Linked DNA regions of Xenopus tropicalis. The protein of the gene in region 2 interacts with the protein of the main gene of each other region in a biochemical or structural test. Links are inferred from orthologs where the notes say so. Each region holds a gene or a part of one and is shown on either strand. Other genes may lie near its edges.

The links.
Region 1: the proteins of lcat (region 2) and apoa1 form a complex in vitro, tested with the Homo sapiens proteins (6 studies listed by BioGRID and IntAct, with this or other methods). The link is inferred for Xenopus tropicalis from reciprocal best matches to the Homo sapiens genes LCAT and APOA1.

Annotation. Positions count from the first base shown.
Region 1 is NC_030683.2:82,228,160-82,232,549, reverse strand, and holds the start of apoa1 (apolipoprotein A-I precursor), read right to left. Parts: upstream 2,890-4,390; 5' UTR 2,864-2,889; exon of another isoform or gene 2,842-2,863; coding exon of another isoform or gene 2,824-2,841; intron 1,977-2,823; coding exon of another isoform or gene 1,959-1,976; coding exon 1,919-1,958; intron 1,379-1,918; coding exon 1,222-1,378; intron 274-1,221; coding exon 1-273. UniProt on the Homo sapiens protein: Participates in the reverse transport of cholesterol from tissues to the liver for excretion by promoting cholesterol efflux from tissues and by acting as a cofactor for the lecithin cholesterol acyltransferase (LCAT).
Region 2 is NC_030680.2:76,578,252-76,582,011, reverse strand, and holds the end of lcat (phosphatidylcholine-sterol acyltransferase), read left to right. Parts: intron 1-209; coding exon 210-434; intron 435-2,142; coding exon 2,143-2,669; 3' UTR 2,670-3,080; downstream 3,081-3,760. UniProt on the Homo sapiens protein: Central enzyme in the extracellular metabolism of plasma lipoproteins.

The DNA.
Region 1 (4,390 bases), on a different chromosome or scaffold from region 2:
ATCTTTTTATACAAGGAATCCAGGTTGTTCTTGGTTTGCTTTTGAAGCTCAGCTACCAGGGGAGAGATTTTCTCCTGGTAAGCCTTTGCATCATCAGCCCAACGTTTCTGGAAAGCTTCCAGGATGGGGCGGATTTTCTCCTTGATTACTGGGAGTTCCTTTTCTAGCTCTTTGGACACCTGTTCCCTGATATTTTCTACATAGGGATTTATTTGCTTTCTCAGGTTCATAGCATTGGTACCAAAGGTGTCAAGCTTCTCAGTGATCTTCAGGCTATATATTGAAAATGAAAATGGAAGAGTTAAATATAACACTCTGATAGCGTAGGCAAAACAAATCCCATAACATACACTGTCCTTGTCTACCAGCTGCTAGGAAAATGAATTGACCACTGACTATCTCTGCTTGTATCTCCGCTTGTATACTGGGAAATGATTATTGGTCCATTATGCCTAGTGTAACCCAGAACTTAATTGCTAGGGTGAGCAGGACCCTAGCAGCCAAAAAATAGTATCAATTTCAGAATGCAGTTTCTGAACAACAAAAATACATAATTTAAACTACAAAAAATAAAAACAAACACCAGTTGCAAATTGTGTGAGAATATCATTTAAAAACGCCCAGAAATAAAAAAAAAACTACCTTAAAGTTGCTTTGTTACAGTTTCACTGCATCCCCTGCACACTTTGTCAAAAAGTATCTACACCATACAGCCCTACATGTGTTTTGATTATACATACATTTGTGTTAGCTGTGACTGCACCTTTTCCTGAAAATAAATACTCACCTTCTCATTGTTATCTTTTTAGTCTTTTCCTATTCATATAAATGGATTCATGTGTAATATTTATCCGGGATCGTGGCATGTAAAGAGTTTTACATGCAGCAAATCCAGTGAATACAGATGGGCAGGTAAGTTATGTCATGGCCCATAGGTCAGTGGTGCTTAGTTATCTTACAAATATTAAGGATATTTATATAGGATATATGTGAGGAGGTTCCATAGCTATTAACCATTTCAACCAATTAGCAGGTAGCATATACTGGTCTGATGTTTGTTTCCTAGACCTGGAACAAATGTTGTGCCTGTTTTTACATTACCTTCTAAGTTTTCTAGTTCTGTTCCCCCAATTTGGTCAAATAGTAACATATAGCCATTCTGCCTTTACCATTATTCTCTACCACCACCAACAAGAATAATAATAAAGAACAGGGCCTTACTCAAGTTGTTTTCCGAGATCAGAGGTCTCCAGTTGGCTCACAGCTTCTCTGCCCAAGTCCCGAACTTTGTGTACGTAGCTCTCTAAGACTTCCCGCACCTGCTGGGCTGGAGTGTGGGGCTCTTCATGCTGCCAAGGGAAATACTTTGCCTGTGTTCCTGCAGAAGCAAAATATAAATGTAAGTTTAGATTGGTTGCTATGGATTACTACTACTACTGTGATTTTTCCCCTAAATGTCAATGGTTTGTAGATATAGATAGAAAAGTATGCTGTATAACTGTGATAGATACTGAACAGTTGGGGGGTAGAAATTAATTTTAGTGATTGTTTTTCCATAGAGAATTGGTGAAGTCACAAACTAAACTCTGGAAAGCAGAAGTAATTCGGCTTCACATTAGACATTAACCCACATTAACCCAAATATGCCTGGTTGCTCAACTTCAGAACTAAAGGCGGCCATAAACAGTAAGATTTGCTTGTTTGCCAAAGGAGCAAATCTTTTCCCCTTGGGTGGGAAATATTGTGCTAATGAGATTGTTTGGCCCTAGGGTCAAAGTGGCAGCTGAAATCTGCCTTAACTAGTAAAATTCTAGTTGACAACAGATTGAAATTTCTAGTGTTCAAACATAGCAGATGTTCATATAGAGCCACAAGGGAGCATCGCAAGCACACAAATATAGGAAACACCACTACATACCTGAGAGGAACAGTACTGCTAGTAGGACTAGGTTCTTCATAGTTGCAAACTCTCCAACCTGTAAAACAGGACACTGGTCTGAGGACAAAGGGGAATTAAAATGCCCGGCATATAATGTAGAATGTTAATGGGCACATTCCAATGAGCAAATCAACTGAATTACATAATCTTTACTGTATATAAGAATGAAAAACGCATGCAGGGACCTTGCACTCCCACCCAACAGACACATGTCTCAGTGCAGTCTGCATGGAGATGAAATAGGGCAATTAGTGGTCCAGACCATCACAAAACATCTACTATGTTAATTTAACTGGCACATCTTAGTTCTATAAAAACCTTTATCATTACAAAATATTTAGTCTCTCTTTTATGTTCATTTTTACAACTGACCCACATTGGTTTAAGAACCAGCAACCTCTGGTGCTCCAGCTATTGCATGGCTGGCAGAGGGAGGGCTGGTTTTAGAGTAAGGCAATATATGCCCTGAATCCACCTTATCAAGGGACAATTTCCTAAAGATAAAAATGTACTTTTATGTAACTAGTGATATATTTAATATTGTCAGGAACATCCCATTTGCTGTACAGCAGTTTTTCAACTATAACTCCCACATCCACCATCAAAGACTGACGGAAGTTGCTGACAACTGTATTTTAAGAACAGCTACCTTTGCAGATTGGGCTTAATATGCATTTTCCACTAAAATTGGAAAGTCACTATTTCTAATTTCAACCTGAAATTGTCTTTAACCTGCAAATAAACAGTGACAGGGAAAAACAATAGATATTACTGTCTACCCTATCAAGAATATATAAACCCTGAAAACAAATTTCTGTTACAGAACCAAACAACCTAAACTCTCTTCTATTCAATCTGTCATACAATGCCTTTCCCCCCAATACCTTCTGGTTTAAAGACATCCAGAGTGGACTGAGAACTTACCTGCTTTGCTGGTTAGTTGCTCCTGTGATCGATGCTAGTCACTGCATGCATTTTATACCCTTGTATACATGGATACTCACCTTATCAGCTGAGATAAGCAGGATTTGCAGAATGTGACGTGGAGCTGTGGGTTTAAAGTTCAGGATGATGTACTAGGGAAATAACAAGGTTCTTTGGTTTTATCTCTGTATCACCACAAAAGACCTTTCATTCTATTTGACAAGCTTAAATTCAGAGCCATGGTGGAAAATCTAGGCATTCATGCATTTCTAAGATATATCATATAACAAAATATTCCTTCTGTCATTCATATACTGATGGGGCTTGTTGTGTAAACCTTTGTATCAAAGATTTCACATTAATGCCTTATGCTTAAGAAAAAGTTCTTTGGAAGAAATGTTGTAACATTAGCCGCTGACTTTTTCCCCCAAATTCAAGTTGTCAGCTGTCTGACTGATACCTGGTTGAACACTGGCCAGATATCTCTTAAGAAGGTTTAAAAATCCTATTTAGCTAGAACCACAGTGGGCCATCAATGCTGATTTTGATGACCAGAGCTAATTGCTAATATTCTACTTGAAGCCCAACTAGAGGACTATGGGTTTGTGAAAACCCATAGCAGCAACATGGGTAATGAAATATTTATCTTTACTCTTGCACAAATTAAAGTTAAAAACTGCTTTCTTCCATATGTTTTAAAATCTACAATGAGCCCACACAATTAGCCTAAAGCATTTCATGCTTACCAAGCACTTAATCATAGATTTGAGCACTTAATCACAGGGAGCCTATGATTAAGTGCTTGGTAAGCATGAAAAGCGTTAAGCTAATTGTGTGGGGTCAGTGTAGATTTTAATATATATGTAAGAAAGGCAGTTTTTAACTTAATGTGTGCAAAAGTAATGATTAATACATAGCCAGTTGCTGACAGGTAACTATTTCTCAGTAAAATTGCACCTATTTTGTTCATTTACACACTTTATGGCAGGTTTCTATACATTTTTTAGGTGGTGGTTCTTCATCAAAGAGAATTTCAGTGTAGGTTAAAAATGGTGTAGTGTTTATTTAGTTCCAGACTCTTTGTTGTACAATCTAATACTATAAAGTATAATGTCCTAGCAGGGCCTGAACTAGATGTAGATGCAGAAAAGATACATGCCTTGGGCACAATATTTGTGGGGTGCTTGGCACGTACATCCTCCTTTATCTACCCCCTGTCACAGCCCTTGCCTCCCCACTGCCCGCTCTTAATTTACCCCACACCATTGTCGGCTCATAGTCAGCTTGCATGTGCGTGTCCATTGTGCACCTGTGTGTGTCTGCCAGGTTTGCAGGTCAGGTTGCCTAGGGTGCCCAGCCAATTTGGCCTTGCCCTGTGTCCTAGGGCATTATGATTCATATGGTGCACCAAACAAAAAGACTGCATAATTATTTTTAGTGAAACCACATAATGGTTTCCTTAAATATAATATAAAAAGGGTCATTGCACATATACTTGTCCCATGGTTTATAAGTAATATATTCTGT
Region 2 (3,760 bases):
TATAAATAAACATTATGGAGCTATGCTCACAATCAATCTAAGAAACAAAGGAAAATGTCTGCATCGACTTGCATCAAATGCATTTGGGAAATGTTAATGTCCAGTGTTACTGGTCATCAAATATTCATAAATGTATGCTATTCCAACAAAATGGAAATCAAAACCTTTCAGGAATTCCACTGCTAATGCTTTTTCCCCTTGTTGTCTAGATGGACAGAAAGAATACTTTGAGAAACTTAAGAGCCTGATAGAAGAGATGAGTAATAAATATAATGAGTCAGTCTTTATCATTGGTCATAGTCTTGGCAATTTGTACCTACTTTATTTTCTCAACCATCAGCCACAGGAATGGAAAGACAAATATGTAAAAGGATTTATATCCCTTGGAGCTCCTTGGGGAGGTGCTGTCAAACCTCTGCTTGTACTTATGTCAGGTAAGTGTAAATACTTTTTAGGAAAGAAGTTTTTATTACACTAAGGGCTCTGGCACACGGGGAGATTAGTCGCCCGCGACAAAACTCCCTGTTCGCGGGCGACTTATCTCCCCGGATTGCCATCCCACCGGCGAAAATGTAAATCGCCGGTGGGATGGCATACGCGGCGGCACGATTTTAGTGAAATCGCGCAATATGCCTCGAGAGGAAACTTGCGAGATTTCACTGAAATTGCGCCGCCGCGCTTGCCATCCCACCGGCGATTTACATTTTCACCGGTGTGATGGCATTTTGGGGAGATTAGTCGCCCGAGACACAGGAGATTTGTCACATCTCCCCGTGTGCCAGAGCCCTAACATGGATTTATTTAACTTTTTGACTTGTTTATAAATCTAAAATACTGTGGTGTACTACCCTATGGGCCCTGTTAGGTTCAGTAGCCAAACAGGACATCTATAATGAATCCATACATGAGTTACTGAAAAATATCATTAATTTACTAGTAACAATTTTATAAGCAAATAGTTGGTAGTTTCCTCACTAGTTTATGAAGTACCTGGGCATTAAATTAACATATTACAGAGTATGCTTTAACTGTTATCCTGGTATAATAAATCTTGCCATCATTGGTGGGTTAGGAGTCGGGTAGTAGTTGCTATGCACCAGTATACTGTTATAAGGGGAAAGAGAGCAACCTCCCCTTAAAACAGTTTACCAAAATAGATTAAAGGAGAAGGAAAGGTAAAAACTAAGTAAGCTTTATCAGAAAGGTCTATGTAAATACAGCCATAAGCACTCACAGAAAAGCTGCACTCAAAAGAAACACAGAATTTCTTGTCTTCTTTTGTTTACACATGTTCTTCAGTGTCAGACTTACAGCTCTCACAAAATCCTTTAGGGCACAGGAACAAGACTGCTCGAATTGCTCCTCTCTTTCTTTCTCCCCCTCCCTTTTCCTCCTCCCCCTCACATCAAAATTCACTCCCCCTCCTATCAGAATTCACTACCAGCTAAAGCTGCAGCACAGAAGCTACTGAGACCAAACTAAATGGCAGTTGCTCTGTTAAACAAACAGAGGGAGCTTCTAGGGCTGTTTACTCAGTTATGGCAAAGCTTTCTGCAAAATAAATATAATCTTCTAGCTTGTACTAATGTGGCTAATCTATTGGCAATAAAATGTCAAAATGCCTTTCCTTCTCCTTTAAATGTTAGTTTATAAACATGCAATTCAAGGAAATATGTTGTGGTTTTTAACTTTTGCCCACTGGCCTTATAACTGATTATTTTGCACAGGGTGCCTTATATACTAATGCAGGTCTTAATCTCAAAGATATCTATAATTTTAATAAATAGCAAAGATTTTCAGTGGAATAAAAACAACAACATTTATTGGCTCAAATTAACAAAAACATAACTCATATGAAAAGCATACTATACCAAACAATGACCAGGTGCATCCTAATCTCCTAACGCGTTTCGCACCGTGTGGCGCTTCATCAGAGGGACCTCCATTGTTTGGTATAGTATGCTTTTCATATGAGTTATGTTTTTGTTAATTTGAGCCAATAAATGTTGTTGTTTTTATTCCACTGAAAATCTTTGCTATTTATTCTTATACTGATTCAGGACTTATTCAGTGGGATATAACTAGTAGATTCCCTTTCTGAAATCTGTTTACTATTTAATATCTATAATTTTCAATTTGTAGGAGACAATCATGGCATTCCAATGGTCTCTAACATAAAAATTCGCGAAGAGCAACGCATGACTACTACAAATCCATGGATGCTCCCAACAAACTTAGGATGGCCAGAATCCCATGTCTTTATTTCTACGCCTTCTCGGAATTATACTTACAAGAACTACCGGAAGTTATTCCATGACATTGGGTTTGAGGATGGCTGGTACATGTGGGAGGATACAAAGGGGCTGCTAGAGGGACTTCCCCCACCAGGTGTTGAAGTATATTGCATCTATGGTACCGGGATCCCTACTCCAGAAACATACATTTATGGGGAAGGTTTCCCAAATGAGCCTGCCATAGACATCAAGTATTCAGATGGGGATGATACAGTGCATACAAGAAGTATGGAGCTGTGCAAGAGGTGGATCAGTCAGCAGAAACAGAAAGTGCACATCCATGAACTTCCTGGGATTCAGCATCTTAACATGGTCTTTAGCAATGAGACATTAACTCTCATTAATGATATACTGCAGGAAAGCATTCTAGACTGACAGAATGAAAAACATTGAGTCCAAATAGGAAGCAAAAGCAAAGGACCCTGCAAAACTGACAACATGTTCAGACAGCCATCATTACAGATGTACTTTACTTTTACAATATATTTGCAGATGGTCTTTTAGATATGACAGAGTATGTGCAATATGTAGCACCAGTTAGCAAGAACCCTCTGCATTTTAGGACATTATAATATTAATGTGTAAGGCTTTAGAAAGTGAAGAAGATATTTACTATGGTTAAATGGGATGAACATGATACTGTTATGTGAAGGTGTTTTTTCTTTAGTTGCTATTCACTGAAATATAGTTAATCGCTTTTATAAATTCATGGGACAATTAGCATCTTTGTTCAATATGAGCCAAATAAATTTGGTGATGCCTTCTGGCCATTTCTGTGCCGTTCAATGTGCGATCTTTCTTTAAGTACTGTTTGAATGTGTAGCCAGCAAAAGATCTGCATTCTATAGATATGTAGTTGATGCAAATGTGAGCAATAAACATAAACAAATGACAAGGAAATTTTACAACACTAGGGAGTTGCCTATATGATAGTCACTACCCAGTAAGCAAAATCACTAACCCTTTGCTTTGGGTAATTATGTGGGGTAATTACTGGGTAAGGCTTAGGTTGGTGCATGTGTACTCCAAGTTCCAAGAATAACTACACTGCACTTGCGCAGCCAATGCAAAAGCAGAGTGTTTTAATTTCCTTGTATTTTAAGATACAATAGCTTGCAAAAGTATCCTCTTGTTTTACCAAATAACAAATTCTACAACAAAGTGTCTGTTTCAGTTCAACTGAGAATTTATTGCATTAACGTATTGTAATTATGTGCAAATAAGGTTCACAAATTAATGGCAGAGCCTGTAAAAACATTTATAGAGATAATAATAAGAAGAATAGTAATAGATTCAAATAACAATAACTATATAGAAGGTTATGTTATAACATAGTGTTTTTTAGGTCTAGTAGCCAGAGCAACCACTCATGAGATGGCATTTATTGAGCTGCTGTTTAAAATCAAGAATCTGAATGGTTGGTATTGGTTATTAAACCTGGAATAAACTTTTTTTATTTTATTAAA